3 linked regions of the Neurospora crassa OR74A genome follow. The protein of the gene in region 3 interacts with the protein of the main gene of each other region in a pairwise test. Links are inferred from orthologs where the notes say so. Each region holds a gene or a part of one and is shown on either strand. Other genes may lie near its edges. The genes, in order: NCU09721, NCU10618 and NCU04121.

Region 1 (10,623 bases), on a different chromosome or scaffold from region 3:
GCCCGCCAACTATCCAACTCGTACGAAACGAAGCATCGTCAGACCCAACATAAAGCCCCGCAGCTCATAAGGGTCATGATCCAAACAATCAAAAGTGTCGCCGAGCTGCTCACAATCTGACCTCCCGCAGCGGCATTCTCCTGGCCAGTCCCTCCCACATCGCCCCACGGAGTCCCTCCATTCTTCACCACCTCTCCCGACCCAGCGATAACCTTATTGCCCGAAGGATACTTGATATCGTAGACGGGATCATCCTTCAGCGGGTTCGGCGTGCCCAAAGCATGCTTGCACTGAGCTTGGTTCTCACTTGGCCAGTTCAGCTCGCACGGCTCGTCATATCCCCACGTGCAAATCGAGTCGAGAATGTTGTAAAGAATGTGGTTTGCGCCCACCCAGCTGCCGTCCTTGTGGTCGAGGCAGCTCGCCAAGAAGTTCATGCTGTTGGCCGCCGACAGCGGAAGCTTGTGTCCCTCTGTGTGGATCAAGTCCTTGCACTCGGAAGCGTCCAACTCCTCCGCCTGCATCTCGATGGGCCCACCGACGGCCGGCCGATCGTTGGCCCCGTGGCCCGTGACAAGATAGTTCCAGGCATCGTAGCTGATGTCGTGAGCGCCCTGGGATTGGTCAACGCGCAGGAGCTTCACGGTACGGTCGCCGTAGGAGAGAGAGACGCAGAGGTTGTTGCAGTCGACCGAACCGGGCCAATAAGCGATGCGGTCGGTATCGACTTTGCAGCCGAGAACGCCGATCGAGGAGGAGTAGCTGTCGTGAGGGGTGGCCCAGACTGTGGTTGTGGCAGCATGGGTTGCGGTGGCGCAGTAGAGAACATGGAGGGCGAGGAAGGACAAGCGAGATATCCAAAGGTTGGACCGCGTCAGCGGTGGTGTCTTGCGCAATGCGAATGAACGGGATTCGGTCATGATTGGGTTGCTACCTAAACGAATCAATCAACGGGGAAAATGAATGACCTCGGGTCGGACAGAGCCGTATAAGTGATGGAATACAACTAAGTATACAAGAGGGGCGAACCGCCGTCGCGGCGGGTTCTGCAACACCGGCTCAGATGATGCTGGCGATGGACATATGAATCCCGATTGCTGCGGAAAACGGAGGGAAGAAGGGAAGGAGAGTAGAAAGGAAAGGCCACTGACGGCCGGCATGGGGGAAGGGACCATTGGAGCATTCAACAGGGGCATTGGATGCTTGGGGGCACCTGTTCCTGGCTTGTCTTGCTTGTTCCTGGCCCGTTCCTGACGGGAAAGCGACCCTGACAATCTGCACATTGAGCTCGAGATTAACAAGCGCCCTATGTGGTCTAGCGCTGTTTCTTCTAAATCCACTGATTGGTCCTTCCAATCTTCCCCGGACTCGTTATCAACAGGGTACTTCCTAGTCCAGAGTGAAAGGGCAACGAGAATCCCACCAATCGTGGAAAAAAAACAGATGGAGCAAATCCTGCTGCTCGGAATTGGAACTGCACATCTATTACAATAGGAGGTGCAAAATATAAGAAGCACTCAAAAAATTCGATCCACCCAGGGGTCGAACCTGGAACCTCCTGATTCGTAGTCAGACGCTCTGCCATTGAGCCAGCGGACCTTATTGATGATAAGACGGTCTGAATCATGTCCATAAGAAAGGCTTTGTCTGTCGCCCCTCGTCGCTATACATTCTCTCTCTTTGTACATGATCATACGATAAGACACTTCGTCGTAGTCGTATGTTACTAGCTTCTGGACGCTTGTTAAGTCCTTTTCTGAATACTAACATATCCTAGTTTCTCTGCTTTACGGTTTGCTGGGGTTGAATCAAAAACACCGATCTCTGCGTGAATGTTAAATACTTTGGCGGCCGTTACAATGATGCAACTGGCGAAGAAGTTCCTAAATCATCACCAGCAAGGCGGCAATTCTCAGTGACAGTCCCTCATGCATCTTTCCTCTGTGACAACCTTTAACACAAGTGTCCTTCTCCTCCGCGACAGAAGGGTCCGTCGTCTCCACGTGCGTTATCACCTAGACTTTCTTGACACTCTCCATCGTTCGCAAAGGCTGCACTCGCCTGGTCCTCCCATATATACATTTGGTCTCCCTTACCTTGACACCCCCTACGGATCGGGGTCGGGAACTGGCGTGGATTTCGTGGGCACGGGCTAGAAAGCGGAGACTCGGACCTTGTAAAGCCTCGCCGGCTTTCGCACCGGCTTGGATAGAGGTAACCTCCTTGCCGCGAGACTTATTGCTAAGGGTAACGCCCAATCTTCCCGTAGTCTCAAGCCCGGCGCGAATTGGCTTAACCTGCGCCCTGATGCCGTCCCGCATCGCTTTGCTATCTGACACTCCCGTTTCCGCGACGGGGTCCTGCTCTTCCCAGAGTAACTTGAGTTCGCTGCGCATTCGTGTCTCTGTCTTTTGCGAATATCTAGGTTTGTTGGTCCTGGTAAGTCTGATCGGGCTGCTGGAAACGGCATTACCGGACGGGATCGTCCAGACGTCAAAAGGTCTCGTTCGTAAGAGTCATGAATAACTCCATCGGCGCCGCCTTCGGCTAGGACAATGAACTTTGCCGGTTGAGGATAGCGGCATGTAGTCATTCTGCTAGCGGTGAAAACGCAAGAGGCCTGTTGAGTTTCGGAGATTGGGACGGCCGTCTACCTGAGCCCCAAATCCCATGTACTCCTCAGAGACTCGAGAGTGCTGGCGAAATACCGCCGAAGTGATAGGGAAGCCCCGATGAGCGAAAGCGAGAGGGTGGGCTAGGATGAGTGAATTGACGGCGATAATGCCAAGAGACTCCGAAGGCCACCTCTAAGGTATACACCCAAGGCGATAAGCCAAAAGCTCAGCGAAAGCAACTTCGATGCGGAATTAGTCCGGCGCAGGACAAACAATTGTGTCATTTCTTGTCTCCGAACAGGCACGGAGATGTAGCAGTAGTTAGACATAGAAGCATTTCGGACACTCGATGTTGACTTTGTGCAGTGTGTTACAGTTGACCTCGAAGAACTCGGTCGCAACCACAACCCAAATATATAAAGGGCTAAATGGGAGCATGTCCCTCGCTCTGTTGTCGTCGATTATGTGAGATCCGAAAAACTCAAACACACTTTGTTGTCAGCAAAGTTCGATAGAGACACTGGTCACTATGGGTGACTAGATAGGTCCTAATAGTAAACGATCGGCTTTGGGACGGTCAAGCTTTTGGTGATTATTGTAGCTTTTAGTCCTGTTGAAATGACAATTGTAATCCACCACTAAAGGGATCTGACGACGATGAATAGAGAGCAAAGCCATAGGTAATCGAGGTCATGACACGAATGTTGCACGAGAGAGAAACCGAAACACGGGGGACAGGCCCCAAATTCACGAGACGACGAAGAGCCTAGTGTATCGTATCTATTAATTTAGCAGCTCATTGCACAAGACAAGGACAACAAAAACTGCTTAAACAAGGCGCTAGCATGTCCCATCGCTTTTAGCCCAGTTCCCTCATCACCAACCCCAACTACCATGCTATTATAGTGACACCATACTCATCCAATCATGACTTCTTCCATCAGAACAACCCAAGCAGATCCTCGCTACCTCCACCACTCTTGGGAGGAGTCTGACTAGCCGGATGCCCCAGCTGCTGACCAGGCGGCGGCGGCGCACTCGTCCCGCTAAGATCCATGCCTGCAAACGAGCTCATCATGTCACCCATCCCGCCTGCAGCAGCCGGCGAAGTTGCAGCAGACGCCGACGGCATGGGCGGTGGTGCATCGAAAAGCCCCATGATATCCGCCATGCCGCCACTGGGTTGCGGTGGCGCACCGGGAAGACCACCGACGTTGGCCGGGCTGCCAAACCGATCTGGTGTGCCGACACCGCCACCGTGCTCTGCGCTGGCAGGAGCGCCGCCGTCAAAATCGATGTCGAGAAGATTCTCAACGTTGTTCTGCTGGCCACCTTTGGCAGCAGCAGCGACTGACGCGGCAATGGGGTTCTCGGCGGCGTTTTGGCGCTGTTCTTGGATGGCGGCGCGCTGGATCTCGTCGGCGCCGAAACGGCCCTTGCCGACGAACGACTCGGGAGGCTTGTGGTAGACGGAGGCGAGAGTGGAAAGCTCGGAAAGAAGTTGCTCGAGGAGGACGGGAGGGAGGGATGTTACTGTTGTCGTGATGGCGGGCTTTTGAGAGAGAATAATGCTCTATGAACGCAAGTTAGTCAATGTTTACATATTCAGGGGGTAGGAATTGTGACAAACCTTGGCAACATCGAGATCGCCAGAGAGGAGACGCCAGTAGATATAAGCACGGTCTCTGATATCGGGGTTGTCGTTGTCTGCCGTGGCTTGCTGGAGGACCTTCTGTACTAGGCCTTGGGTGTTGCTGGGTTTCTTCAGGAACAGCTTGACCACAGCGGTAAGAATCTGCAATTGGGTCTGCGTGAACTCTTCCAAGAAACCCTCGACGAACCCTTCCAGAATTTCATCGGCGTTGTTGATTTTCTCAGCATACTCTCCAACAATCCAGATCAAGGCACCCCTGGCGTTGGGCTCATCTAACTCGTCGATGTACTTGCAGAGAGTCGGAATGACACCTTCATATCCGGGATACTTGCGGAGGATGTCCTTGATGACGACAATAACCTCTTGCACAACATAGTTGACCTTGGTGGAGATTAGATCAAGCAACGCGTTGACGCACTTTTCGCTAGCGGCCTCAATCTTGATGGCGACCTGACCGATGGCCTTGACAGCTCTCCGGACGAAATCCATGTCGACTTCAAGGGCATACTCCTTGAGCTCGGAAAGTAGTTGATCAAAGTTCTTGTCGTTTGCTATCCTGACCATGATTTCAAGCTTCTGGAGCTTGACGTACGGGGGGTCGTTGTATTTGCAGAAGAATACCCTCAGCTCCTTGCTAAGAATATCGGGATTGGCTTGCAGCAGAAGGTCAATGTTGCGCAGCGCGACATACTGAACCTCAGGAGCAGAAGCGATGAGCGTTACCAGAGGAGGAGCCATCTTCTTCAGGTAAGCGCTCACTGTCTTGGGGTTGAGAGCCTTCATGTGGGTAAAGACGACCTTGACGGCAGCCAAAACCACGCTGGGGTTGACGTGTTGGAACTGGGGCGCTACTCTTTCGCAAATGTGTTCCGATTCCTTGACGTCATGGGCAGTGTACTCGGCTAGTGTTGTCAAAATGGTGACCCTCCCCCATTCCGTGCACTCGTTCAACGCCATAAGCAGCTTCTTTAGGGTCGCGGGTGTGAGGACAAGCGCCCTGGTCTCGGGGGCAGTTTCGTGGATTTCGGACAGGGCCTGGACGGAGTTGGCCACAACCATGGGATTGGGATCACCAATCATCTCTTGCAGTGTCTCCAGGAAGCCGTTCTCGATGCACATTGTGGGGTTGAGATCGAACAGTTTGGCGACACAGATGGCGGCGGTCTTGCGTACGTAGGGGGACTCGTCTCGTAGCGTCTTTCGTAGCGGCTCCTCCATGTAATCGATCATTTTGTCGACACGGATGCAGCCCATTGTTCGAATCGCCAGCGCTCGAATGAGGGGGTTCGGGTCTTCCGAGTCTTGTACGAATGTGTTGACGGCTAGAATGCAGAGATCGGGATGTGATTTGGCGTAGTTCCTGGACTCAGGGGTTAGCGTTCGTTCATGAAGGGGCCAGAGACGAGGGCAGCTGATGCTCACATCAAGTAGAGATACACCAGCTTCTTCTGGTCAAGGTCGGAGGTCGCAATGTTTTTGAGGACGTCCGGGAAGAGCGCCGAAACATCCTTGCCCAGGGTCATGGCCATGATGGTCTTCTGGATGGCTTCCTTCCGCTCGTAGGCATATTGGGACACAAGGCCGGCTCGCAGCTCGAAGGTTTCGCCCTTGCGCGGCGGCGCAAACGCACCCCTAATGCGGTTGATAGCTGACATTGCGAAGGCGTTGCTGTTCTGCGCGCTCAGGGAGGACAAGCAGTGGTGGAGGTGCTGACAAGGTCGAGATCGGGCGGTGAAACCTCGAGCTTTGACAAAGGAGATGGCGCCTCAACGGGTGGTCGTGGAATGGCGCATACACGGATGCTTTGGTATGTTGATCGCGTAGGTACCGGTAGTCGTGAAACAAAAGTGCAACCTGGCCGGCTGTGAGGCAGCGTGCTGTTGTCGAGGGCGTGCTCCAGCTTTGGATCAGGTCGCCGCGTCGTCGCTGGTGTCAGGACGGGATGGATCACGACGATGATGTGGACGGGCAGATGTCCAGTGATAGGTACGCGCTGAATAGCGGCCACTGTGGTTCAGCTGTGGTTCAACTGTGGTGTCCTCCAAGTCACTGCAGCGACAGGCCAGAGCGTCTTGGCGTGAACCTTGTTGTGAGTTGCCCCACTCACAGGGTCCTTCATTGCTAGCGAGGTGCCCCGCCGTAAAGGAGAGCTTCAGCCACAGTGCCGTCTTTGGGGCATTCGATCCCATCTGGCAGCTGTGGCTTGGCACTTGGCGACGAGGACGATGATGATGGTTGTGCTTGGCCGTGACGACGGAGGACCATCCACTCCCAGTACACTGGAGAAGCGACTGATTATTCGGCGATATTGCAGCTTAGACACATCCTCCCTTTTTTACTAGGACTTAAATCACCTTCCCATATCTTCAAAAGTACGACCTATCACCAGCATCAACGTCTCAAGTGTCAACTGGCAGAGGCGAAACAATGGTAATTGTCCACAAGACTAACCCTCATTGTTGAGATCCCCTAAACATGTTGCTAAGACTGAGAACCTTGAATCACAACAGGCCAACTTTCCCAACTTGCGTCGCCTCTTCATCGAGGCCAGGACGGACAGTGAAGAAAGAGACGTGTCCAGAAAAGCAGTACGTCATATTCCGGTGCTGCTGTTTAACCCCAAGACCACCTAACATGATACTACTAGTTCTACAACGCCGTCCTGTTCCTAAGCTCCGTCGCAGTCTTCAGCTTGATAGCTCAAAGAATGAACGCCACAAAGTAATTCCGAAACTGAGAACCTGCCTCCAATGTGCCATATTCTCCGCCCATTGCGTACCTTGATAAATAGTCATACAAAACCAAAAGGGTATAAAACATCTCGTTGAATCGTACACGCCCATAACATAACCATGAAGAAGTAGTGGTGATCCAAGACACTGGGTCTTGCTTGCTCCATATCAATCACCGTGACTTAATCAGACTCGCTCTCAGAGCCCAAGAAAGCGAAATCCGCCCTGTGCTTGGCTGGGCCTCTCACCCTTGCCTTTGGCTCCGCATCTTCTGAGTCGTCCTCGTCCTCGTCATCGTCATCTTCGTCGTCCTCTTCAACTTCATCATCATCATCGTCTCCATCTTCATCACCGCTACCCTCCTTTTCGGCCTTCTTCTTCTTCTTCTTCTTTTCCTTCTTTTCCTTCTTGTCCGCTCCATCCCCACTTTCGTCCTCTTCCTCTTGATCTTCAGAGTCACTTTCAAGCTTCAGACTCTTCACCTTAGCCGCCGCCCTCCTCCTGGGCCTCCCGCCATCACCCAGTCCCCAGCTCTTCTCTCCGTCCTTCACGGCATCTAGCTCCGCCTCCAGTTCCCTGCGCATCTTGATTTCCTTGGCCTTGGACTCGGAGAACCGCCCGGTCATGCCTATGTCGGTGAGCATGTTCTTGAGATGCCTGATCTTCGCCTTGGTGTCATCACCGTACTTCTTGAGCTCGATTGGCCAGATCTTGCGAATGCCGCACTTGAGTAATTGGCTCTGGAGCTGCTTGATCAGGGCTTCGTCAGGAGAGAGGTCGGCGGATACGGACTTGGCTTTGCGGCCTTTGCTGGTGCTGCTGCTGGCGGCCTCCTTGGATTTTCCGCGCCCCTTGCCGCCACGCTTCGGGGGCTCGTCAAAGACTTCAGACATGGAACTTTCGCCATCGTCCTTGTCCGCGGGCGGGGCGTTGGTGGGCTTGGTTTCGGAAGAGTCTTTAGCGGCGCCCTTTTTGGGTTTAGCTTTCCGTTTGGGAGGTTCGTCGATGACTTCAGAAAGCTCGCTCTCGTCGTCTGAGGCCGGTTTCGTCTCCTTCTCTGCCTTTGTCACCTCGTCTTTTGTGTCCTTCTCCTTGGGGGTTTCGACATCCATGGCATCCGATAGCTCACTTGACTCGTCCTTATCCTCCAGTCCAGCCTCGTCGATTTCGCTAAGCAGGGACTCTGCGTCGGATGCTTCGACCTTGTTCTTCGCAGCGGCAGTCTTCTTGGTTGGTTTGTCCTTGGTAGCCTTGGCGGCGGGTTTCGCTCTCTTCTTAGGTCTTTCGGACTCGCTCTCCTCGGCTTCCTCTTCGTCATCATTGTCATCTGATGACCCCTTCCTCTTCTTGCCCGTTGCCTTTGTGGCTTTGCGCTTCTTGGCCGGCTCCCCTTCGGATTCGTCGTCGTCGTCAAATTCCTCCTCTTCGCTATCCTCGGGATCGCTCAACTCGGACTCGGACTCTTCGGAAGGTGTCGCCTCCTTCTTTGCGCGCTTCTTCGCAGGTGCCTTGGCTTTGGCGTTGTTTTTCGGCTTCTTGGCGTTTGGTTTCGCTGGAGCAGCCTGGTCTGGTTCTGCCCCGTTGGATTCTATCTTGGCCTACGATAGGTACACGTCTGTCAGTAATTGATTATGGTCTCTCCTCGGTGCTGTTCAATTGAGCCATCAAGATGACTACTTACGAGAGTGTCCATGACAAGCTGCTTGCTCTTTGCTTTCCAGTCGCCATCTTTGAGAAACCCTTCGCCAAGTTTGAGCTTCTTTTCGACAGCTTCGCGCACAGCGTTGACGGTTAGCTCTTGCGGACCGTGGTAGATGCGGCGCACGGCATCTGCGATCTCGGTCTTGATTGTCGCATCGGCGACCATTTTGCGGGGAGGCATGGTGATGTGACAAGATGCAGGTCAAGTTCAGGTTGTATTTTCGGTGCCGCAATCAGAATGAATTTCGGATTTCGGTGTTGAGGATACTTTAAGACGGAATACAGAGATTCGGAAAGCTCTTCAGTAGTTTGACAGGTAGAATGCGATGAATGACGTTGGTAATCGCGTCCTGGTGAACGTGTCTGCGATCGAACAGACGCGAACAGATGGGGCCGGTGGGTTAGATGTGGACCCAGACAATGGCATCAGACAAGGGTCTTTGATGTTGGATAAAAGCGGTTGGCCCAAGCGTTTTGAGAGAGGTCTCCTAAACCGGTAGGCCTAAGGTCCGTGTGTAAGTGCTGCTATACTGTGCTCGGCGACATGCACTGCAACTCGGAAGTTGAAGTCATCACCGTTCCCCTTTTTGGGCTGAAGCATGCCCCAGTTACGCTACCCGTTGGATACTATTGAACCTTACACTTGATTAGTCCTTCCATTTCCTGTATTTACTTACTTCTATTATGCCGCCTTTGTCCCACTCACGAATCGAACTTTGTCGATGATCCATATGCATGCTAGCGTGTCTCTAGTATGGACCTCTTGGTATTTGCTGGCTGCAGCTTATTGCGCTCCTACGTTCTTATGCTCGTTCAAATTGTCCAGGTCTCTCTTAATCTTCCACCTTTGGGGTTACCATCGAGGGTAGCGGCGTCGAACGCAGCCACCGAGGTATTTGGGATCAGAGGATCGTTCCGACGAGCGGTTTTGGAGGACTGTGGAAGGCTCCCCAGAGCTGAGTGAGCTACATATACATACATCGATAGCTGAAGCCCCATGAGGGTACCGCCGCCTTGAAAGATGGTTGAGGATGGCTGAGCGAAAACACACCACCACAGAGTGTCACCGTCCATTGCAGAATGCATGACAATCTCGTCATTTCTCAAGAAACAACAGTAAGTTTGGAATCGGCACACCCAAAGAATGCCCTCCCTTCAACAAGGGTACCTCTGCCATTGACTACTTCCTGCTCTATCCCGCAGATGACGACTGGGATGCCCATTCCTGCCAAGTCGTCTTCGGGTCAGTATCTCCCAGTCCCATGACCACCCCAAGCCCCTGCCCAGGTGCCATACTCCCATACTTCCCATGCCTTCCAGATTCCTCTGAAACAGTTCCGTCGCCATCCACAATCCCTACCTCTCCCAGATTGCCCAAATCCTCATCTTCCACGGCGTTTCCTTCACAGGATGAGTAACTGAGATTGTTAGCGACTGAAGTCCTCCAAATTGGTTCAATTGAACAGGATTGGCAATGTGGTAGGTGAAAGATGAACGTGTTTTCGCTACAGAACCGCTCAAACACTAGCTCTTGGAAGACTCGATCGATGTTTGCGAGGGACACGTGCGCGGAGCATTGCACAACTAGATGCACTGCGCTGAAAGGGCCTAGCGATGACCCGGCCTCCGACCAGACAGGAACTATTGATGGAACAAGGGGGGGAGGTGATAGACGTCAAAACTTGGCCCTGCATAGAACGAGGAAGAGCTTGGACGGGAAATTATAATAACGAACTTGGGTTGTGAAGAAACAAAGAGGGACAGTTGGAGCTTGAGGCTTGTATCCCTAAAAGCAACGGAACGACCTGAGCCATATGTTTCTATTACTGCGTACATTTTGTCGGTGATGGCGTTGACATTGTATCCACGTTGGAGGTAATCGTTGGTGCTTGGAGGCTGACGCTCTATTCGGAGGTCCTGA
Region 2 (10,695 bases), about 3.3 Mb from region 3:
AACGTTTACCCGAGGAGCTACTTATTCATGCTTTGTGTTTCCGTTGCGAGGTGCTGAGAATACTTTCTGTTACAGCAACTCAATTTGCAAATCAAAAGCTATTAAAACTACGTAATTCAGTAGAGTAGTCATTCCGTCGTATTGCCCTGCCATGCCATGCCATGCCACACTAAGCGTCGTTATCATCGTTGCCCTTTGTCAGGCTTGTCCTCATCTATTCTCGTAGATGCTTCCCGTCTGTAGCAATCTGAAAGGCGCAAAAACCCCATATCAGTAGCCATTACACAGACTGTTTGATTGTTTGTGTTGAACCATTTCCGTTCGTCACAAAAGACATTGTTCGTGGAAACCCGCATTACTCTCAGTAGTAAGAGTAGAATAGAGTAGTTGGAAAGTACTCCGCGCAAAGTCAGTAAGTATAGCAGCAAAAGAGCAACGTAGCCGTAAACGTAACCATACCGCTATCCACCCGGAGCGTTATCCAGAATTGTAGTCTCTCTCACCGACCTTCTGAAAACCCAGGACAAATGATCCAATCCCCACGACTATTTCCTTGGAGCCATAGATACTCGAACAAGGAAAACAAACCCCACAAAAAAGCAAAAGACGTGTTATTGCGAAATTCCCACAGTTATCCCCAAAGAGCACACGAATACGCCGTCGTGAACTCTCTCCAATGCATTGCTGGCCAACTTTCATAGGCGGATGTTTTGAGTCAATCCATGCCTCCCACCCATGTCTTAACCCAAACCCCATTGAGGGAGAAACATTCTACCGTTTCCCGTGTTGATGTATAAGCTAGCCAGCCAGATTATACCCATTGTCATGTGATGTTGTGCGTGGAAGCAGTGATACAGCACGGGTGCTGCTAGAAAAGTGGAAGGAAAGAAAATCAACGAAAGGCAGATCAATGAAGAAAACGAACCATGTACACGCAAAACAAAGGTAAGAAAAGAGAAAAGGGAAAAAGACACCAACAAGAGAAGAAAATGCGAGCGCGAACCAACACCATGGTATCTCGAAAATCAGGAGCCTCTCACGCTCCCGTAGGCTCGCGCGCAATGAGGCTGTCGTCAAAAACAAAAAAGAGCAAAAACGTAGCAGATTAGCGTGTATAACATGACGGCCACCTCGACGACTGTCATTAGCGTCCTAGGTCTTCAAGGACTAGCGGAATGGGATTGACATCGTCTAAACATCAATCTCCATCCTCGACGCAATATCCTCACTGACTCCCCGGTACGGAACATTCTCAGAGCGCCATCCACCCTTGGCGGCCGAAGCTTGACTCCGACCACCATTAGTGTTCTTGTTGTCATGGTCATCTTCTTCCGCGTCTTCGAGGTCTTCGTCCTCGTCATAATCCCCCAGGCTCTCAATATCATAGTCATCATAATCGTCATCGTGATAGTTGCAGTTGACGTCACCGTCAGCATCGCGATTCCATATTAGACCATCATCGGCCTCCATGTCGTCGTCATCCGCCATGACGCGCTCGGCAAACTGGTCTCCGAGCCAGTACCTTGCGCGCTTGTTGGCTCCGGCGTCGTCGAGCTCCTCGTCGATCCCGTAAAGGGCCCTGCGCGGCCGCACAAGCCCGCCTTTGGCCGAGATGATGGCGTGGTGACCCGGTATTCTCGGACTATGGGACATGACCGGCATCCCGCGCACGTAAAGGTAGCAGACGCGCTTGAGAGTCTTGTTGAAGAAGAAGTAGTGGAGGGCCCAAATGGCGCCTTCTTCCTCGTCAAATGGGGCGTCGGCCGGTTGGTACGAGAAGATGGAGCAGTCCTTGAGATCCATCTCTTTATCGATGGATGCCCACATGCCAGGGCCCCAGACGGGTGACATGGCGAGGCCTGAGGAGCCGAAACTCGAGGCGGCGGCGGGCGAGGTGCCCATGCCAGGGATTGTGACGTCTAGGAAAGATGAATTGGGCCGCACGCTTTGCAGAGTGCTATCTATGTGGGCCATGACGCGGCGCAACTCTTTCTCGCGCTTAAAGTCGTCGGGTCGCAGGACATTGGAGAAGTCGTAGTCGGGATGCGACGCATTAAGAGTGGCTATTAGGTATGCGTATGTGTTTCGGTTGGCCTTTTCGTTGAGCGAGCCGAATGGTGAAGACCGCTCAAAGTTGACGGTGTCGGCGATTGAATCGCGCTGTGGTGGTGACAGGGACTTGCCAAACTTGATGAGGTTGTCATGCTGAGTTTGGAGGGACTGTTGGATGTTCTTGTAGAGGCGCTTGTCGGAACCCGCAGCCTTGGTGGTGTATAGATCGCAGCTGCCGGTGATGTGACAGTCTGGTGTGTCGAAGTTCAGGGCGCTCGTCACAACATCTATCGCAGGAAGAGATAGAAACTGTGAAAGGGTCAATATTGCTTTCGACGATCAACCACTCCTGGTATTTGGAGGGTAGCGGTGCCCGGTTCGACCGGTGCGACGTATACTTGCCTTCATTTTGCCGATGGTTGCGATGGCATGCGACTCGTGAAGGTGATGTGACAATTAGGCAGTGGTAAAAGCCGGGAGGCGTTTGGCCGTTGGGGTAGTGATAAAGATGATAGGTATTCGCAAAGTGGTGCGACGAATAAATCGGAGACGGTGAGAGTTGCAACAAAGGCGATGAACAAGTGGCAGGCCCAGCTCCGCAAACGTTGTGGTTGTTGGTTGGAAGCGGGAGGGGTCGAGCGATCGCCAGATGGGACTTGTTTGAATGTGAGGTGAGTTACCGCAAGGATATTATTAGTGTTTGTAGAGAGTCAACCAGTAATTCTTGATCCCGGGTCGATCCGTGATGGCGCAACAGATTGATGCGAAACGTTGTATGTTATGGGTGTTGTTGTTGTTGTTCGTCGGAAAAGGCGGTGCGGAGGAAGTGGGAACAGGGTGTGGTAAACGGGGGATGATGTGACCAATCTAGGTCCTCCGACGAGTCCGTGAGTTCGGGGGGAAAGCGGTTATGGAAATCCTGCCTATCAACTCCCAGATCAAGTCTTAGGTATGAACAAAGACAGGGACACGGGATGTTATAATGTCTAGCGCGATGTCGAGTACAGATAGTGAAAAGGTGTAGGTGGTTGTACACAGTAGATAGTTAGAAGTGGGGTTTTTGATGTTGTTGATGTTGATGTAAGTTTAGCGTGAGGAGAAATAGGGGTGACGATATCGTCATATATCGAGTGATGTCCTGCTGTTTAGTTGAAGTGAGGTTCAGATCAGTTTGGGAAACAAAAAGTGGGAAAAGTGGGAGGAGGGACAACTTGGATAAATCCCATACATGTAGTGTATGATGTTCTTTCCAATCCATCCGAATTGAATCCAAGGGGACCGCCGGTTATCGGGTCGGTATAGTGAGTGTACAGCCATCATGCTTCTTCTGTGTTCAGCTTGGCTCCAGTCAGTCCTCTTGTTGGTCATTGATATGTTCCCTTGGTGCCCCGGCTGCGGTCTCGCTTTCCATCGATGGCTCGTTACCTATCTGACGTTCCTTCCAAGCCGTGCCATCAGGGCCAGAGCCGGTTCGCTGACGCTGACAGTAACAGGTGGGTGGCCTTTCGGGTGAGTGGCCTGCTTGCGCCAGCCCACGTTGGCCTTGGCTCGCTGGGGATTGCTGGGGTCGACCCGCCTAAACCCCGGTCATGCGCCGCTGGCTCCTCGAGTCGGGTGGAGTCGCACCCCCTAAGTGATCGGCGTTCCCTTGTCACCACCAAGTCTCCATTCCCACTCACTCCCCTCCGCCGTTCCGCCTGGAAGCCTCCAGTCAGTAATCGCAGTGCGTTCCACTTCCTGTGTGTCAATGTGTGTCCCGGCCTGAATGCTGCTCATCAATGTTAATTGTCAACCACAACCACCTGACGAATAGAGTCGTCTCAACCCTCCACGAGCGTTGCTTCCAACGTCGATGTGGACAAACCTTTCCTTGGTGGGCATCAAGGTAACGCCACCCCAACGTCTCCCGAGCGAATCGATCTGTTTCTGCGCATACACCCGATGTGTGAGGTCATGAACAGATGGATCGGTGTTGGCAACGCGTCGTTGAATCGTTGTTATCATTAAGCACATCGCCGAGGCCATGCCCAGTGTACCGGATACGCATTCCACTTGGTTTCCTCCCATCATCGTCCATGATTAGGACACTAGTGGTGTATCCGGTCTCCGAGTGGCTCAGTTTTGGCAGCTCATTAATCTACAATGCCCATATCTATATGATTAAGGAAAGGGAGTTTGCTCCCTCCTAATGGGTGACTGTAGCCCCGACTTCCTGCCACCACACCACACTCTGCTTCCCCTTCTCTCGGCGCGATTATTATTGTCCTCCCTGGTTGCATATGCTGTACTCTCGTGCTTCGGGTCGCCCCTCTCGTCTGTCCATCCGGTGCCGTCACCTATCGGAGGGACTGTGGTCGCTACCACAGCTTCAGAGAATCCCGGCCTGCTTGAGTGCGTTGTTTATTTCTTCCAAATCCTGCATCAGGAGGTAAAGGTATGCATTAGCGTATGCTGTTGGGGTAAATAAATGTCGACCATTGGCAATCGCAAGTGTTTGAGGGGACCCGGTTCGGTCGGTCGTGATGATGGAGAGAAAAAGACACCACAAAGCTTGATCAGCCTTTACATGATCTTTGTGACTTCATCCTCGACCTGAGGAAGTGCAATAAACGTGTCAGTGAGCGCGGTGGTTTACGGATAGGGATTGCAACAAGGGGGGGGGGGGGGGGGGGGGGGGGGGAGCGTGTAGGCGTAGCGACGCGGGAAGAAGGCAAATTCTGTCCGGGCAAGCGGTCACGGCTCCAAGTCAAATGCTTGTACGCACCTCCATGTCCTCTAAGGCGTCTTGTTGCGATATGCATCGTAGGACATTCTTCTTGCTGCTTTCCTGCAACTCTCCCGCCAGCAGGAGCTCGTCGAGGATGTAGTAGGCTTTGGTAAAGGAGAAAATGATGTCGAGCTCGCAGACGTTGCCGTAGTACTTGTCCATCTGCTCGACATAGCGATGGATGATCTCGAGGGTGATCAGCTCGTTGTCCTCGGAGGAGCATCCGGCGATGAAGAAAAGCGAGGCATATCGGCGGTAGACAATCTTGGTATCTGCAGACGAGCAAAAAGACAGTTAGTTAGCCCTATGTTGCGATCCAGGAGAATTGGCGGAGCTTGCCTTTGTATTCGAGAAAGTTGCACATGCGAGTCCTCCTAGCCAGGACAAGCTGGGAAACGTCCTTGACGATCTTGGCCTTGTCCTTGGGAGACAGAGTGGTGAACCATTTGGCCAGGCGCTGGATATTTGACGTGCGGTTAGTCGGGAGAAGGACAGCGTGGTTGGGGACGAGAGCAACGCCCGCGGCGGGCAAGACGCACCACTTTGCCCTGGCGCGAGAGGAGGATTAGATAGCTGCAGAGCTCCGGGTCAGCTTGACTTCATTGTGAATAGCAAGATGGCGACTGTCGGGCGCATACTGAATAGCCATGATGACGATGATTCCATCAACTACCCGGGATCACGTTGAGCGGGAGTCGACAATGTGATCATGGAGGTGTTGTCACGGGCGGGAAATTTGACAAGGACACCACGCCGACAGCCTGGACTCCTCCCGCCTGGAGCTGTCCAAAGGGGCGGGACGACGGCCGTCCAATGTGCCTGAAGAACCAGACCCAAGGCAAGTGGGGCTCTACCCGATCCTAGAGACTATTAGTGCATCTGGCACTTCTCGTTTTCAGAGGCTTCTTTAGTGGTCTTATAGTGGATGATGTGCTCCTGAGTTGATCGAGGCTTAACATGGGAGTTCGTTGATCGTCTAACTGTCTATGTACCTAACGACAATTGAGTTGATTGACTTTTTATCTTCTGCTGATCCCATGTTGCTGGGCAAACCACTTAACGCACACAAAATCTCAAGGACGGATCAAAAGGGAAGCCCTTTTCTCATTAAACCCCCTCAGTCGTAGCGGGCGTCTGGTTCATTTTTCTATCATCTTCTGCCGGCATGACTCAACTAGTTCTCTTCCTCAGTGTTGGTGGCTGCAACAAGCGAACATGACCTACTAATCGTGGGAGAAGTACAAGGCTCCCCACGTTCACCGGGCAGTTCCTCACCTAACAAGACATCCCGTTCCTGTCAGACCTTCTGGTTGGCTGTTGCTTTCTTCTCCTTCTACGGCATCCCGCGCATATCTACACCAAAGTGTGGTTGAGAACGCAACCGACAGTCATCAGATGCCGAAGCTGGCATAGCTGCCGTTGACATTCTCGGCAATGTCCGCGACGTGCATCTCCGACTCTGACAAACTTGCTTGAGAGTCCGCACTTGTTCTTGCTCATGGCGCCTTCCCTGGGAGTTGCGTGTAGAGCCATGCTTCACCTAGCGCAAGGTCAAAATCCGAGAGTCGGATGATGACCTCTCCGATTTATGGTCTGCGGACATCCCACATTGCGAAAACTCCGTCTAACCTCTATCCTGGGTTATGTTCTTGGTCGACGACGGATATTCATACTTTTCCAAACTGATGTTCCCCTGTGTCGTTACAGCTGCCTATCTCTGGCAACACCACCCTACCATCGGCGTTTGTGGTGATACATATCATCACAAGCTTACAAAAGGTACCTTCATACTCCCGAATCGAACCACCCCCGGACCCATGCCAGTAAATCATTAATAATCGGTTCTAGGCTCCATTGAACCAAATAAGTCGTACCCCACTATCTAGTCCAAAGTTCAAGAGGTAGAGAGATTCGTCTTGCGCCTGGCCAGCGTTTTAACTTTTTTCTACCCATTTCCAAAAGAAAAGAAAAAAAAAGGTCGTCAACATCCTTAGCAGTCATGACCAAGTTAATACTTTCTACCGGGTATGTCCGTCCTTCTCTTCATTGTGTGGCTCCGGTCTCAAGTATGATGGTGTAGGGCAGGGCAGGCCATATGGTTTGTCTCTTGTCCCTAGCTGTGCGACCTCGCTCGAAAATAGGCAAGATAGCCATCTCTTAGACCCAATCACTAATTGCGTGCTCGAACTTTTTTTTCTCCTTCAGAAACATCATTTCCGGCGGGCCCTCCATTGTTCGCAAGCCCGGCGCATCCAACCTCGAACTCGTAAACTCTCTGAAAGTCAGCTTCCAAGATGCGCAACTAGACTACGCCGACGAGATTGAGAACCTGAACGCGAATGGAACGACGAAGACGACGACGACTACGACCAATGGCACCAGCAATGGCGTCCACGAAGCCACAAATGGCGATAGCAACACTACCGACCCCGTAGCAGGCCCGCTCTACTGGACGGCGCAAGACCAGAAAAACAATACAATCTTCGTGCCCCGCATCGACTGGGAAACCGCCGCACTCTCTGAAGAGCGTTCGCAGTACGACATTACCGTCAAGATTTTCTTCCTGCCCACTACAACGCCCGACGTTTCCAGGCGGGCGCAATACACAACCGAAGCAATGGAGCTAGTGCTCAAAGAGCTCGGAGGGATCCCAGACGTCGACCTGCTCGTCGTTTCCTTCCCGGGCATGTCCTTCGACGGCGACTGCGAGTGGGAGGCCGACAAGCTGAACGCTTCGCAGGGTGACGACGAGTCCGAGATTGCGACTTGGCAGGCGGCCGTCGAGGAGCTGCACCGCCAGGGACTGGTGAAAAGGCTAGGCATATCCGAGTTTGGCACCGAGAAGCTGGCGCGGTTCATTAAGCGCGTGGCAATCCCGCCGGCGGTGGACCAAATCAACCTCAAGAACTGCTGCAACGTGCCGCCGCCGCTGGCGACGCTGGCTAAGGAACAAAATGTGGAGTTGTTGGTGCATAGCGATTGCACGGACATCTTGCCCGAGGGAACGCTGAGGGAACTCCTGGGCCCGCAGGGTGCTGGGCTTCTGGCTGACCCAGCGACGGGCAGCGGCGGCTTGACGGGAAACCTCACGCCACAATGGGTGATTAAGTACACGGCTGTGGTGAAGAATAGGGGCGTGATTGAGAATAAGGGATACTTTGCCGGTGCCGAGTTGAACTGAGGCACTCGCTCTAAAATACTTGGGGGGGTAATAGAACCGCATACAAAACCGACCTATATAGCTGCTGCATATTGTGTAGCTGGGTCCAAGGGAGTTTTTGGATGGGACGGGTGGCCAGGCAGGCAAGCAGGCATTCTGATTCTATTGATATTAATACCAATTGCGTTCGTTGTCTTCGTTGCTTATGAAAATGGCGTTTCGATTTGCATGAATGTATTGCAACTTCACTTTCCTTTCCAGCGCGCGAGCTCCGCTGTTCCAACTCATCATTATAGCAAAACTGTTCTTGTATGTGTATAAATCCATGGGTATCTTTTCTCGCCTTGTTGTCGCCAAAAAAAGGTGTTGACCATTACCCAATCATGCTCCTCTTCCTCCCACGCATCCTCACATCCTCCAACTTATGTAACACAGACGCTCCCTTCTTGAAGCTCTGCTTGTATGACTCCAGCAAGTGCTCAAACAGGTTCTCCGCCCGGGGGTGTGTGCTCGCGAACGCCCTCTCGAGGACATACAAATCCGTCGCCCGGTCTTCGTCCGACTGGCTCTGGTTCGCCAAGCCAAAGTCAATGATCACCACGTCTCCCTCCAGCAACTTGGCCTTTTCCTCTTCTTTGCTCACTCCATTCGTCTGCTCGCTACTCGTCGTCTTGTTCGTGTGTGGCCTCAACATCATATTACTAGTCGTCAAATCTCCATGCACCACACCCGTCCTATGCAGCCCCGCTATCGCGGCCCCGATCCTCTTCATCAACTCGATCAACGGTCCTTGATCTTGCTCCGCGGCTGACCTTTCCTCCTCCTCATTCTTCGGCCTCTGCCCCAACCACTCGTTGATCTTCACTCGCACCGGCGCACCCTCAATCCATTCCACCGCGATCCAGCCCGCCGCCGCGTTCTGGGCGTACACGGCAGGCACGGGAACGCCCTCGCGCCGGCACCGCTCGAGGACTTTGGCCTCGAAGGCGAGGCGGGCTTTGGTCAGGCGGGCGTCGAGAACCGGGTGCCGGTAGGGCTTGGGGGGTCGGTACTTGAGTGCGCAGGGGATGTCGGGAGAGAAGAAGGTTGTTTTGTAGAGACGGCCTTCGGCGCCTTGTGTGATGAGGGTGGGAGGGGCGGCGGAGGGGTGGGTGAGGATCGGCGGGAGGGGGAATTGGTGTTCTTCGACAACCGCGGGGGCGGCGGTAGAAGTTGAGGTTGAGGTCGCCATTTTGCGCTTTTTGGTGGGGGGTGATTGAGGAGAGGGGTCCATCAATCTGGCAGACTTGTTGTTGTTGACAACGTCGTAAAGGGCTGGGTGTGCGATTGAGTGGTAGTATCTGGTGAGGTTTGTTGCGCTTCGGTTAGGTTGTGTCGTTGTGCCCTGGGCTGTGTTTGATTATCGCGAACTTTTGTTTTGGCGGCAGTGGGCTTCCTTGTCTGCCAAACATTGCGCTGGAGGGGCAGAGGGGCACCGGACATTGTTGCTGGGAAAGGAAAAGTGCCAAGCTTTCACAACTTAAGAGCTCCACACAGGGTAGGTAAGCACAGGGCAATATTGTTAACACTGTGCCGCTGAATCAACAACACATGAGCGGCCGATTGGTGAGTGATCTCGACTCTGACCAATATTTCGAGATCAACGTTGATCAACTACTCGACTTGCACAAATGTCACATCGTTACCGTCTCCTGAAACTTCACTGTTCTTCATATGTTGACAACAACAAAAAGTCACTTAGGGGAGATACTCACTCCGAAACAGGCGCCAGATTTTCTGCGCAAGGACAAACCGATCCAAGTCTTTGTCCATCTGTGAGGTTGTCTTCACCTGTCCACTATCTGGAGGATCTGCGGCTTCGGACTGCGATATTATCTCCCATTGTATTTGCCGAATCTGTTTCAGAGCATCAAATGAGACCAAATGTTCCTCAACGGCCAAGCGGCTAGACAATCATAGCGTTCACGGCCAGTCCGAATGATGAGATTTGAAGTCAAAGACATATACCTCGGTGTTCGAACATCCAACCGCATATTTTTGACGATCAGGTTGTGATATTCAGGCCGGTACCTCGCATCAGCTGGCTTAGTTGTTGACGTTGATGCTCCGGGCCCACGTCCACTTGCCGACCCCTCCTTCCGAGCGGCAGACAGGCGGGCAAGAGATTCCCCGCAACCCCCGCTGCCGACCGCCGGCCCCCAGGTACGGACCTGCGTCACCGGCTTCAACAAGCCGATGATACTACCACAGTACTCGTGCATTGCAGCTGTCAAGTCATCAAGCTTGTATTTCATTCTATCCGTATTCTTCTTTCTATTCTTCCCTTCTGCATCTTACACTCAATGTCCATCTCCCTCAAACATCTCTTCCGTAGTTCACTACCACACCGGCTATCATCCTCTTACACACGACTTACACGACTTCCGTCGTCACCACTCACCAACACCACCAGATCACTCACCACCACCCCACCCACCAAAATGCGTCTCCCCTACATCCCCAACCCCCCACCCACCTCTTCGGACGCCGAACAAGCCATCGTCGACCGCATCACCGCCCGCCGCGCCCCCCGTCCCCTCCAACCCTTGGACCTGACCCTGCTCCACTCCCCGCCCGTCGCCGACGGCTGGAACTCCTTCCTGGGCGCCATCCGCACGCAAACCCTTCTTCCCGCCGACGAGCGCGAGCTAGCCATTTCCCGCGTGGCCGTCTGCAA
Region 3 (10,543 bases):
GTCGTCTTTCAGTTGTTTTCTTTTTGGGTTTTCTTATATCACGGGTTTCCTGGGTTCTGTTCGTCTCTTAACGGGTTTCGACGATTTCCTATTCATCATCATCATCATCATCACGATACCCAGTCTCGGCAACAAAAAGAACCACTGGTGGTTATTAGTTTTCTTTAGGAAGGCGGCTTTCATTATTGGACAACGACAAAAAGCAACAACTTACTTGATCATCTTTCTCAATCACACTACACAACAACAAACACAACATCACAATGCGTGCCTCACTATTCCTCTCGGCGCTCAGCGTCTCCTCCATTATGGCCGCCCCACTACTCCCTGAGATCAACGCCCACTCAGCTCCCGCCGACTCCCTCAAGAAAATATCAGAGTACTTCAACCTCCTCGCGGTCAAGATCCAACAAAGCAAGTTCGAGAGCGCCGTACCAACATGTGATCTCTCCAAGGTGGTCATGCCCCAAGGTAAGCCTCTCAGCCCATCCCCTCTCATTCACCTACCTGAGCTCATACTAACAAAAATCTCACCCTCTCTCCAGCTCCCTCTCCCCTTCCACCTCCTTCCTTCGGCCTAACCCTCCGCCACGTCGCCCTCGGCCGTGGCACCCAAAACTACACCTGCGACCCTTCCACCCCCACCGCGGCTCCCGTCGCCAATGGCGCCGTCGCCTCTCTTTTCAACGCCTCCTGCATCGTCTCCGCCTACCCCGACATCGGCGCCATGTTGTCCACTGTCTCCCTGAACTTCAACCTCTCCGACCTCGCCTCCATCGCTTCCTCCGTCGCTTCCGCCCTCCCTTTCCCTCCTTCTTTTCTCAAACAGACCCTCGCGCCCACCTCCGGCATGGCCGTCTCAGGCGCTCACTACTTCACCAACGCATCCACGCCCTTTTTCAACATGGATGCCTCGCAGTGGAAGATTGGTGAGGCGCCGTGTGCCAAGAACAGCAGTACGCCTGCCCCAGAAGCGGCGCCGAGGGGCCAGCAAGGGGAAAAGGCGGTTGCTTGGTTGAAGTTGGTTACACGCCCGGGAGCGACGGGCGGACTGCAGGAGGTGTATAGGGTAGAGACGGCGGGAGGAAGCGCGCCCGAGACGTGTCAGGGGATGCCGGAGCATTTCGAGGTGCAGTATGCTGCTCAGTAAGTCTTTTTTTTTTATCTATCCCTTCAAAACTACCTCATGAAAACTTTGTAAACAAAGACGGGACGGGATGGTGGCTAACATTGTTGGAAAAATAGGTACTGGTTTTATGGCAACTAAAAAACTCTTCTGGGATGTCACTCAGTGACTGAATATCGGATGTGGAAAATCAAACCAAAAACAAGCACCAAAAAAAAAGATACCATGTATTTTATGGAGGAGGCATCTTCTTCTTCTTCTTCTTTTTGTTTCTTTTCTCTCCTTTGTCTTTGTTTCTCAACAATTTTTCATGTGCAATCACTTGCATATTTATACCTACCTACACCACAAAGAGGGCGTTAATGGCGGCGCCAAACAGGCACATTGTGTTGGATAAATGACAGATGGATAGCACGAGCTATGGATATAAAACTCTTGTTAGTAATACCGGGCTGACTGCCTGATCATCAACCATGGTCGGAAGAGGAAAGGGTGAGAGATTGCTGGACTTGAGTAGTGGGAGATGAACAAATAAAACCAAATGTCAACAGAGGGTTGGTGCTAAAGTGATAAGCGCAATGACCGAGTGCTTACTATGGAGATTCACAGCCTTTTGGGTGAAGAGAAGGGGATAGATAGTAACTTGAAATACGCATGCTTGAGCCCTCGGCAAACAGTCTGCAAAAGAATAGTAGACTTAGTAACGATGTACGCCTTGGCAATAAATCGGCTGCTTCGTTTTGGTTTCCTCTCTATACCTTGTCCTGTTTCTTGTCGGTACTCTGTGGTCTACCCTGTAATCAAAGGGTATGTGACTTGACCATTCAATAGCTAATACGTTAACATTACGATCACTCTTTCTTCTCTCTCCCCTCTCACCCTTGCTGCCCCCTCCATAACTCATCCTTCCCCATCGTCCATTCAAGAGGGCTCCGTCCAGTTGACCAGATCCAATACCTGTCCCGCCGTAGGGTGTGTATATCCTATCTTGAGACGTAGACGCAAAGCCTGTGCACAAAACTTGTTAGCAACTTTATCTAAATATGGAAAAAGGACATAAACTGAATTGAACCTACCCCAGTGCAACCCGCGACTCTCATCATTTGCGTCGCCTCCGCCCCCGGCGCAATATCCGTCGACGAAATATTGAGCAGCTGTAGCTTCTGAGATTTGGGCACCGCCGCCTGCAACCCGACAGCCGAAAGCGGACCGCCAGGGAACGAGTTGCGGAAGCGAGCCGTAGCCTGGATCATGCCTTCGGCATTTCGCTGTATTTGGATGGTGACGTTCAGTCCGTTGTTGTCGTAGCAAGCATGGCCGGCCGCAGCAGCGGGCTTGGGCGCCGCTTGAGGAGCCGGAGCCGAAGCGGCGGCCGGAGTGGTGTTGAAGAGATCAAGGACTGCTGATGGAGCAGCCGCTGGTGCAGGTGCGGGAGACGGAGTGGAGGTAGGTCCCTGCGAAAAGAGATCCATGATCGAGGCAACGTTTGACTGTGCGGGAGCCGGCGAGGCCGAGGTCGGAGGCGAAGTGGTGCCGCCGAGAATATCGGCAAGGAGGTCGGCATTGTTCGTCCCGCCGTTGGGAACAGAAGGAGACGGGAGATTGGTGTCTCCCATGAGGTCGAATAAGAGATCCTCTTCCTTGGGCTTGGCAGCCTTGTTAGTCTTCTTGCCCGCCGCCTTGGTGGTCTTCTTGGCAGCTTCACCAAGTACTCGGGAGGACTCCTTGATTTGAGGAGGAGGCATCTTCTCAAGCACACCACGACGGATCTGATCAAAAGAAAACAGGTTGCCGTATTCCACCGCACGCTGTTGAACTTCGACATCCAGACTTGTCTGGTGGTACTGAAGCAGACGGCGAACTCTCTCGATTTGGGTTGCGTCTTGCAGCCTAGTGGTGAGCTTGATGAGTGCCGTGATGATGTACTCGGTGGTGACTTGGGTAGCGTAGTTGCTGTTCAAGATGGTTGTGAACAAGTCGATAAGTTCATGCTCCTTGACCTCCTGTACGAGCTCCTCCTCCTCATACTGACCACCCCTGAGAAGAGCGTCGCCATATTCACCGATGCACCACGCGCCGGCCTGCGTCAGACTTTCTTGGGTGATATCCTTCTTCAAGTTGGTGTAAAGCTTTTGCACGGCGTACGTTTGTAGCTCGGGAGTCGTAGCGATAAGGCGAATGAACGAGGACAGGATGGGCTCCTTGACGTAGTTACCGGCCAACGTCAAGACACGGAGCATCGTATCGACATGCCACCTCTTGTTCGGGGCGTACCTATCAGCGGCGATACCGATCTGGCTAGTCATATTAGGCTTAAACTCATTATCCGCCACTTCCAGGAAAGCCAACAATTCTCGGATAAGGACGCGGACGTTGCTCTCGTTGATTAGGGTGAAACTCAGATCAAGAGCTCTCCTCCTGATACTGATGTCGGGGTCCCTAAGGCACTCCAAAATGGTGTTCCGGTGTCTTTGTACAGCGTTGGTGTCGATGGCCACCACCTTGACCAGCGTGTTTAGCGCAACATAACGGATATTGTTGTCCTTGTTAGCCAAGAACTTGCCGAGGATGTTGACTCCCAGCACGCGCAAGCCGGCATCGGCCTCGATATCGAGAATCGTCAGTACGGCCTCGTAAAGGATCGAGTTGCCAACGTTCTTAGTAGCGTCGGTGTTGGTCGCAACCTGAGCGAGGATATCGTTGATCTGCTCCGTAGTCTGAGCATCGCCGCGGGCCAGGACTCGGAGAAGGCGCAAAATCTTGACCTGCAAGAACGGGTCGGTGATGCCCGTAACGTCGTGCTCCGGCGCATAACCGGAAGAAGCCAGTCCTTTGAGAGTCCTCACGAGTACCGGCACGAACTGCCTGAACTTCTCAATGATGCCCTCTTCCCCACCCTCGGCCTCGTCAGCTTCACAAAGGCTGGTCACCAATGTCAAGCCGCAAAGCAACACGCCATGGTTGCGATCCGATAGTAATTGCGCCGCCTTCTCGACAAAGTGTTCTTGGAGATCCGGGACCTTTTTGCATATGCGCATCGCACACAGAGCTGCCTTGCGCCGGATGTATGGGTTTGTCGTCGATATAAGTGTTTCGATTTGGGGAAACAGGTCTCTAGACATCTCGACCGATGCGATGTTTCCGAGGGTGCAGAGGGCGAGGCCCACCACATACTGATTCGAATGGTTAAGATCACTGTCGAGCCGAGCGTCAGCATCACGTTGCGCACCCATAATCGTCTTCCTGGGCACCATACTTTTGCAATGAGTTGGTAACCAGAGTAAGCACTTCCTGGTTTTCGTCGAGCAGCAAACTTGTCGCGAGATGGCCCAGACGCTTGTCGGCGAAGCGCGGAGAGGCCAGGAGCTTCAAACACTCGATCTGACCGAAGTGAGTGCGCTCACCGAGGGTGAAGAGGTATAATAGCTTGGCCACATTGTTGCGCCTGCAATGACACAGTTGATCAGCAAACCGAGATCCCGGGGAAGCTTGGGTATTGGCAGCTCAGATGCACCTGACGCTGTGATCGTGGCTCTCCTCCCTGAAGCTGGCCCTTATGGCGGCGCTCTCTTTCTGGATTACGGCTCTCTCGTCGGCGATGGTCTTTGCGGCTCGGACATTGCGAATAAACTGCTTGACTGTTTGCCGATTACAAGCGTCAGTTTTGGCCTCGTCCTGGTCGCTCGAGGCTTGGGACCATGGCGATGCCGGTGGCTCACTTACGGGAACTCATGGCGATGCAATCATTAGGGGCCCGCAAGGGGGCCTGTCTAGGGGATCTGGACCAGAGAGGAAGTGGTAGCGGATGCTTGAGCTCTCGAGATGGCGGGGGAGCTGCGGAACGGAGAGCGGATGGCGGTTCTTTGGAATTTCAAGCAAGGGGTATCCGAAGAAAGTAGAGGCACGCAATGGACAAAGTTACGATACGGTAAAGCAGCGGTACGTAGACATTCATGAGAGAGGATCATCTTTTTGGGAACCCGGCCGAAACACGACAAGTGGAAGCCCAGCACACAATGGGCGGGCGTGCGATGTGGCCATGGAATGCGCTTATTGGAGCTCCTCTTGACCGTGTGTGTCCACCCCCCACCTTGACTTGACCTCTCCCAGCCCGCTCCCAGCCCCAGGCAGACGGTGACGGTCAGCACCACGGCAGCAGTAGATACCTAGGTAGGTACACTAGAGGTAGGTACTACAGTACTGGGACTCGTGGCCTCAGGCAGGCACCTCTCTGCTGCAAAGCTTCCCGGCAACGACGCGACGGCAGGCGCCAAACTCTCTGAAAAGCATGGACCTCAGGGACCCTGGACAGGTCACGGTGCTGTTCCTCAGCTGCGATGCAACGACTCGGTACGGCGGGAAGGTGGGGCCTAGACCGTCTTGTCAGGCACCCTGACGGCCTCGCCGGAAAAGGGGTAATCAGGGTTAGGGTCAAAATGATGAATGTCCTGTCCGAGACCAGCCACAGCATCAGACATTGCTCTTCTTGATACCTACGTAGGGCGGCCTTATCTTGTCACCGCTTAGATCTGTGAGGATGAAAGATGAATAAGAGCATGAGTTCCGTCAAGATTTGCATGAGACGCCGGCGATTTGTTGAAGAAGGAAGGCTAAACACATGTAAAGCTTGTTCAAGTCCTGAAGAAAAGTTAATAGGCTACTCATCATCACCGTCAGTGCTGATTCTGTACTGGACCAGTCCTGAACACATCGAGCATGAGGGCGACAGCAATGCTTAACTATTTGCTTTTCAACAAGACAGCAATGAGCGTTTGTCAACTGACAAGCTCGGCCATATGACAATTGACTGTGCGAATACTGTATCATCGAGCTTCAGTTTTGGGGAACATGCGGTTCATCTATGGTCACAATACTGATGAAATTGACGAGGGCATCACAAGCAGCAAACAGCCTCAGCGCAACCTACAGCCATCACTGACCGACAATGACCTGATCCTCCATACATCAACGGTGATCGGGAGATGAGTTGATTTTCTAGATGCTGTGCCGTACGGATGTGTACGATATGGAAATCCCTATAGGGCTGATGATATCCACATATTCGGCCTGGGCTTGATGGTTGATGTCGCTAGGCAACACTGCCACAATCATCCTGCAGGTCATCCCCACTCGTTGACAGGTCTCCGGTCTTGCTGGTGGTCCCTGATGACGTGAACTCAGCAGCTGTGCATTTGAAAAGTTTATGTAGCAAACAGTAGGGTTTCATCTGAACCTCCGGACGGAAGTGCTCCTTTGCTCATGTGGTACAGCTTCCACTTGGGAGACAACACCGTGGGTAATGGCTCCTCACTAGCAAAGGCGGAGTAAGATTTGATTGATAACTGCTTTGGAGACGAACCGCCACGGACACAAAGTCAAACGGAGAGAAACTTGAGGTGCTAGCGTCAATCCATGTCAACTTCACCCCATTGCTTCCCGAACTCGGTGGTTTGAGGCAGGAGGAGAGGTAACAGTCCAGCATAACGCGCAACCACGAGAACACAGGTGATCCTTGCATAACATACCAAGCGTGGGAAACAAAGCGATCCCTTCACATCCGAATGGAGGCATATCAACTAATAGTGGTATTCAAAGAGAACGCTAAAACCTGTCTTCGTGTAGAGTTGGAATATAGGAGAAAGCCGTTTACTTCTGCATCATGAGCTGGACGAACTCGTTGTCTGTTTGGAAACAAGGTGTTAGTAAGCTATACCCAGGCTGAGTCGCATGAATTGAAGACGTACAGTCGATACGCCCATCGCCGTCCTGGTCGGCCTCACGGATCATCTCATCAACCTCGTCATCAGTGAGCTTCTCGCCGATGGAGGTCATGACGTGACGGAGCTCGGCAGCGGAGATGAAGCCGTTGTTGTCGCGATCGAACACCTTGAAGGCCTCACGGATCTCCTCCTCGGAGTCGGTATCCTTCATCTTTCTGGCCATCATGGTAAGGAACTCTATAGGCTATTGTCAGCGGCGAGCTGGCAGGTCCATAGTCCGAAATGTTTATATCATACCAGGGAAGTCAATGGTGCCGTTGTTGTCGGCATCGACCTCGTTGATCATGTCCTGAAGCTCAGACTCGGAGGGGTTCTGGCCCAACGAGCGCATGACGGTACCGAGCTCCTTGGTGGTGATTTGGCCTAGCTGCTGTTCAGTATGCGTGCATTACGGTAGGGCTCGTATTCACATCGCAACTCGGTTCAGGGGCGGGCGGTGAGAAGCGTTGGGTGCGTCGCAACTACTATGATCCAAGGCGCTTGCCGCTAACTTGGTGGTGGATGAATTCGGATATCTGGGGGGGTAGGGTTTCGGAAGACTAACCATCACCGTCCTTGTCCTGTGTCACGTTGTGTCGGGTCAGTCATCAGGCTCGCACGATTTGCGCCAAACGGCGACACAGGGGATTGAGCATAGGCGACAAGGAAGCTCGGCGCAAGAAAAACAACTTACAAAAAGGGAGAAGGCCTCCTTGAACTCAGAGACCTGCTCTTCAGTAAGGGAGTCCGCCTGTTGTTGATAGCCTTGTCAGTCACCCGTCTCCTTTCCAGCCATCATCGTATGTTCGCAGCCCGGCCGCAGCCCCTCGAGCTAACCCGCGGGGTTCTTGTTGCGCTCAAACAGATTCGACCGGGAGGCACCGAGATAAGGAATGAGCATACCATCTTGATATAGTATTAAGGGGTGGATAGAGGGTCTGGGGAGAGCGAGCGTGTGAGATAGTTGGATGTGTTCGAAGGAGGATTTCGAAGGTGTTCTGGTTTGGAAGTGGTAGATATGGAGGTCCCCCAGTAGAAACGAACGAGACCCGTTGGCTACCTACCAGGTAGGTCCAAGTCCCCGTTCTCCTAGTTCGACGTTCCTTAAATGAGCAGCTGGGCCGCCGATTGCGAAGCATGGAGTGGAGGGAGGCGGGGCGGGGTCCCTCCCTACCTAACTGTAACACACTCGCTAAAATGAGACTAAAACTAAAGATGCCCTGGAGCCCATCCCGGCGTCTCGCAGGTGCTGCAACCTACCTGGAACCTCTGCATGGGATACATCACCACTGGAGGTGTAGGTCGTCAGCCCCAGCCCAGGACAGACGGGCCAGACTGTTAACAGGCTGAAAGCTCCCGTCCCCCAGGCTGCCAGCTGACCGACTCTTTGAGACACTGACAAAGGCTACCCCTTATTGGCGGGCCCCAAGTGCCTGACAGGTGACATGCATCCCATGTTATTCATGCCCCCCATCCCTGGAACTGGCCAGCATTGTGTTTCTGAACCGCCGCGTCAGCGTCATTGTCAGTGGTAGCAGCTGCCCAGTGCTACTGGCCCTGTTGCTGTTATTACATAGGTAGGTAGGTAGTGAAAGAGAGAGGCCTAGAAACATTTCCCCCCGGGAAGATCGACCAGGGACGGAGACATTGGCAACTCAACCTCGACCACATACACAGCCGTGTCCATGCGATGCGATGTGATGCCATACCCATTCCAATCCGCCTCTGGACCGCCATTACCACTAACTACCATCAATTGACTCTCACCTCTGACCGAGACGACGACTAGCCTTCGGCGTGCAACCGAGGTGAAGGGAGCCTTTCGCCCTTCCGGCGTCCGCCATGTGGCGCGACCGCACTAATCTGTACGGGGAACTCTCTTGAACCCCCCGGAGATGAGAGTCGTTCGTTAACATCCATGTGACTATCACAGCTATATCTCGTACCGGCAGTCCTACGCCCACCACCCGACCCAGCGCAACCGATATGCCCCTCAGAACCCAGGCGACCGCTTCGGCGGGACTTCCGGCGGGGCTGGCAGCAGCACGGGGGTCCTCTTCTCTGCCGACGATGACCGGCGCGGCCTCTTATCCGCGGGGGCCTACGATGTCGACGACGGCGATGCGGTGATCGAGATGGACCTGCTTCCGCCTCGGTGGGCGGATTCGTCGGACGAAGTGGCGGAGCTGCTGGCCGACATCGCCCGCAAGAGCCAGAAGCTGGAGCGGTTGCATCAGAAGCACGTACTGCCGGGGTTTGACGACGACGAGGCTAAGAGGGACCAGGAACGTGAGATAGAGCAGCTTACGCAGTCCATCACCAAGGGGTTCCACGACTGCCACCGCGTCATCCAGCGCATCGAGCAGATGGTGCGCGAGGGCAAACACAATGGCCAGATGAGTCGCGCCGACGAGGTCATGGCCAAGAACATACAAATCAACCTGGCCACGAGAGTCCAGGAGGCCAGCGCCAATTTTCGAAAAAAGCAGAGCGCATATCTAAAGAGTGAGCCCCCCTACTTTCCTTACCACTCGACTCTGACTTTAAACAGTCATGCTGACATCACACTCCCTGTTCAGAGCTAAGAGGCATGAGCGGCCTTGCCAGTCCAACCCTCGACCGAGTCTCAGCCACCTCTTCTTTCCTGGGCCCCAGCGGCCTCCCGCCCGGCAACAGCTCCAACAGCGCCTCCATTCTCGAATCCGACGCCGACCGGGTCTTCTCCCAGTCGACCCTACAAGCGTCAACGCACCAGAAGCTGCTTCACAGCAACGACCAGGCGATCTCTCAGCGTGAGCGCGAAATCGACGAAATCGCTCAGGGCATCATCGACCTGTCCGATCTGTTCCGGGATCTTCAGACCATGGTCATCGACCAGGGTACGATGCTGGATCGGATCGATTACAACGTGGAGCGGATGGCGACGGACGTGAAGGAGGCGGCCAAGGAGTTGACGGTTGCGTCCGGGTACCAGAAGAAGACAACCAAGAGGAAGATTATACTTCTGTTGTTGATTTTGATAGCGGGTATGATTATTTTGCTGGTTATCAAGCCGAAGAAACATGGAGGTTGAAGAGAGTGGGGAGAGACATAAAAGGGACGAACTTCAAGATGTTATGTGTGGGACAATCGAGTTGATGGGCGGACGGGTAACCGAAACCACTACACGGTACAGCGAAAGGGGTGAGTGAGCCGAAGAAAGAGGGAATTTAAGAAAGTAGTAATGTAATAAAAATGGGGAGAGAACATCAAGAAAGGATTCCGGGAAACCGGTTTGTATGACAACTATACAGATGTCAACAATCGGGGGTATGAGAACCGAGGTATGAGGACCACGGCCCCTTTATCTCAAATAGGTTTGTTATAGTTTCATGTTGTGACCCTGTTTGCATTGTGTGTAATGGCCATGCTTGGGAAAAACAAAAAGTAAACAGTTTCACGCTTGATCAAATCTACTTTTTAAGACAAGGCTCCGGTACTTCCAAGTCCGTTGGATGATCATCCTGTGTAAATTTTGTCTATGGCGCTGTATTAACCCTTTTCGTTAACCTCCCTGCCATGCTCTATATAAATGCCCATGTAAATAAAACAAAGTAAATCTTCGCTATGTGTTGCCTAGATGGTATACAGGTTCCATCCGACAACCGCTCGTCTATTC

Evidence for each region.
Region 1: the proteins of NCU04121 (region 3) and NCU09721 interact in binary tests that used the Saccharomyces cerevisiae proteins (3 or more experiments, as listed by UniProt). The link is inferred for Neurospora crassa OR74A from reciprocal best matches to the Saccharomyces cerevisiae genes APL4 and APL2.
Region 2: the proteins of NCU04121 (region 3) and NCU10618 interact in binary tests that used the Saccharomyces cerevisiae proteins (3 or more experiments, as listed by UniProt). The link is inferred for Neurospora crassa OR74A from reciprocal best matches to the Saccharomyces cerevisiae genes APL4 and APS1.

Annotation. Positions count from the first base shown.
Region 1 is NC_026507.1:1,357,939-1,368,561, reverse strand, and holds NCU09721 (AP-1 complex subunit beta-1), read right to left. Parts: upstream 6,293-10,623; 5' UTR 5,925-6,292; coding exon 5,692-5,924; intron 5,630-5,691; coding exon 4,246-5,629; intron 4,189-4,245; coding exon 3,556-4,188; 3' UTR 3,307-3,555; downstream 1-3,306. Other genes in the region: NCU09719 (hypothetical protein), read right to left, coding at 39-920; NCU09720 (hypothetical protein), read right to left, coding at 2,016-2,408, 2,474-2,593; NCU09722 (hypothetical protein), read right to left, coding at 7,184-8,599, 8,683-8,883. UniProt on the Saccharomyces cerevisiae protein: Adaptins are components of the adaptor complexes which link clathrin to receptors in coated vesicles. Clathrin-associated protein complexes are believed to interact with the cytoplasmic tails of membrane proteins, leading to their selection and concentration.
Region 2 is NC_026505.1:1,561,119-1,571,813, forward strand, and holds NCU10618 (AP-1 complex subunit theta-1), read right to left. Parts: upstream 5,910-10,695; 5' UTR 5,469-5,909; coding exon 5,458-5,468; intron 5,393-5,457; coding exon 5,359-5,392; intron 5,277-5,358; coding exon 5,159-5,276; intron 5,092-5,158; coding exon 4,817-5,091; intron 4,645-4,816; coding exon 4,615-4,644; 3' UTR 3,513-4,614; downstream 1-3,512. Other genes in the region: NCU04597 (mitogen-activated protein kinase MAF1), read right to left, coding at 1,192-2,361, 2,455-2,460; NCU04596 (gamma-cysteine synthetase regulatory subunit), read left to right, coding at 6,819-6,844, 7,025-8,000; prk-11 (serine/threonine-protein kinase BUD32), read right to left, coding at 8,353-9,252; NCU04594 (4-carboxymuconolactone decarboxylase), read left to right, coding at 10,322-10,695. UniProt on the Saccharomyces cerevisiae protein: Component of the adapter complexes which link clathrin to receptors in coated vesicles. Clathrin-associated protein complexes are believed to interact with the cytoplasmic tails of membrane proteins, leading to their selection and concentration.
Region 3 is NC_026505.1:4,908,689-4,919,231, reverse strand, and holds NCU04121 (AP-1 complex subunit gamma-1), read right to left. Parts: upstream 5,162-10,543; 5' UTR 4,860-5,161; coding exon 4,850-4,859; intron 4,765-4,849; coding exon 4,641-4,764; intron 4,572-4,640; coding exon 4,383-4,571; intron 4,322-4,382; coding exon 2,203-4,321; intron 2,135-2,202; coding exon 2,048-2,134; 3' UTR 1,659-2,047; downstream 1-1,658. Other genes in the region: NCU04122 (malate dehydrogenase), read left to right, coding at 264-471, 546-1,146, 1,246-1,267; cmd (calmodulin A), read right to left, coding at 6,773-6,807, 6,871-7,083, 7,144-7,269, 7,451-7,466, 7,580-7,636, 7,789-7,791; NCU04119 (SNARE complex subunit), read left to right, coding at 8,728-8,750, 8,819-9,390, 9,465-9,958. UniProt on the Saccharomyces cerevisiae protein: Adaptins are components of the adapter complexes which link clathrin to receptors in coated vesicles. Clathrin-associated protein complexes are believed to interact with the cytoplasmic tails of membrane proteins, leading to their selection and concentration.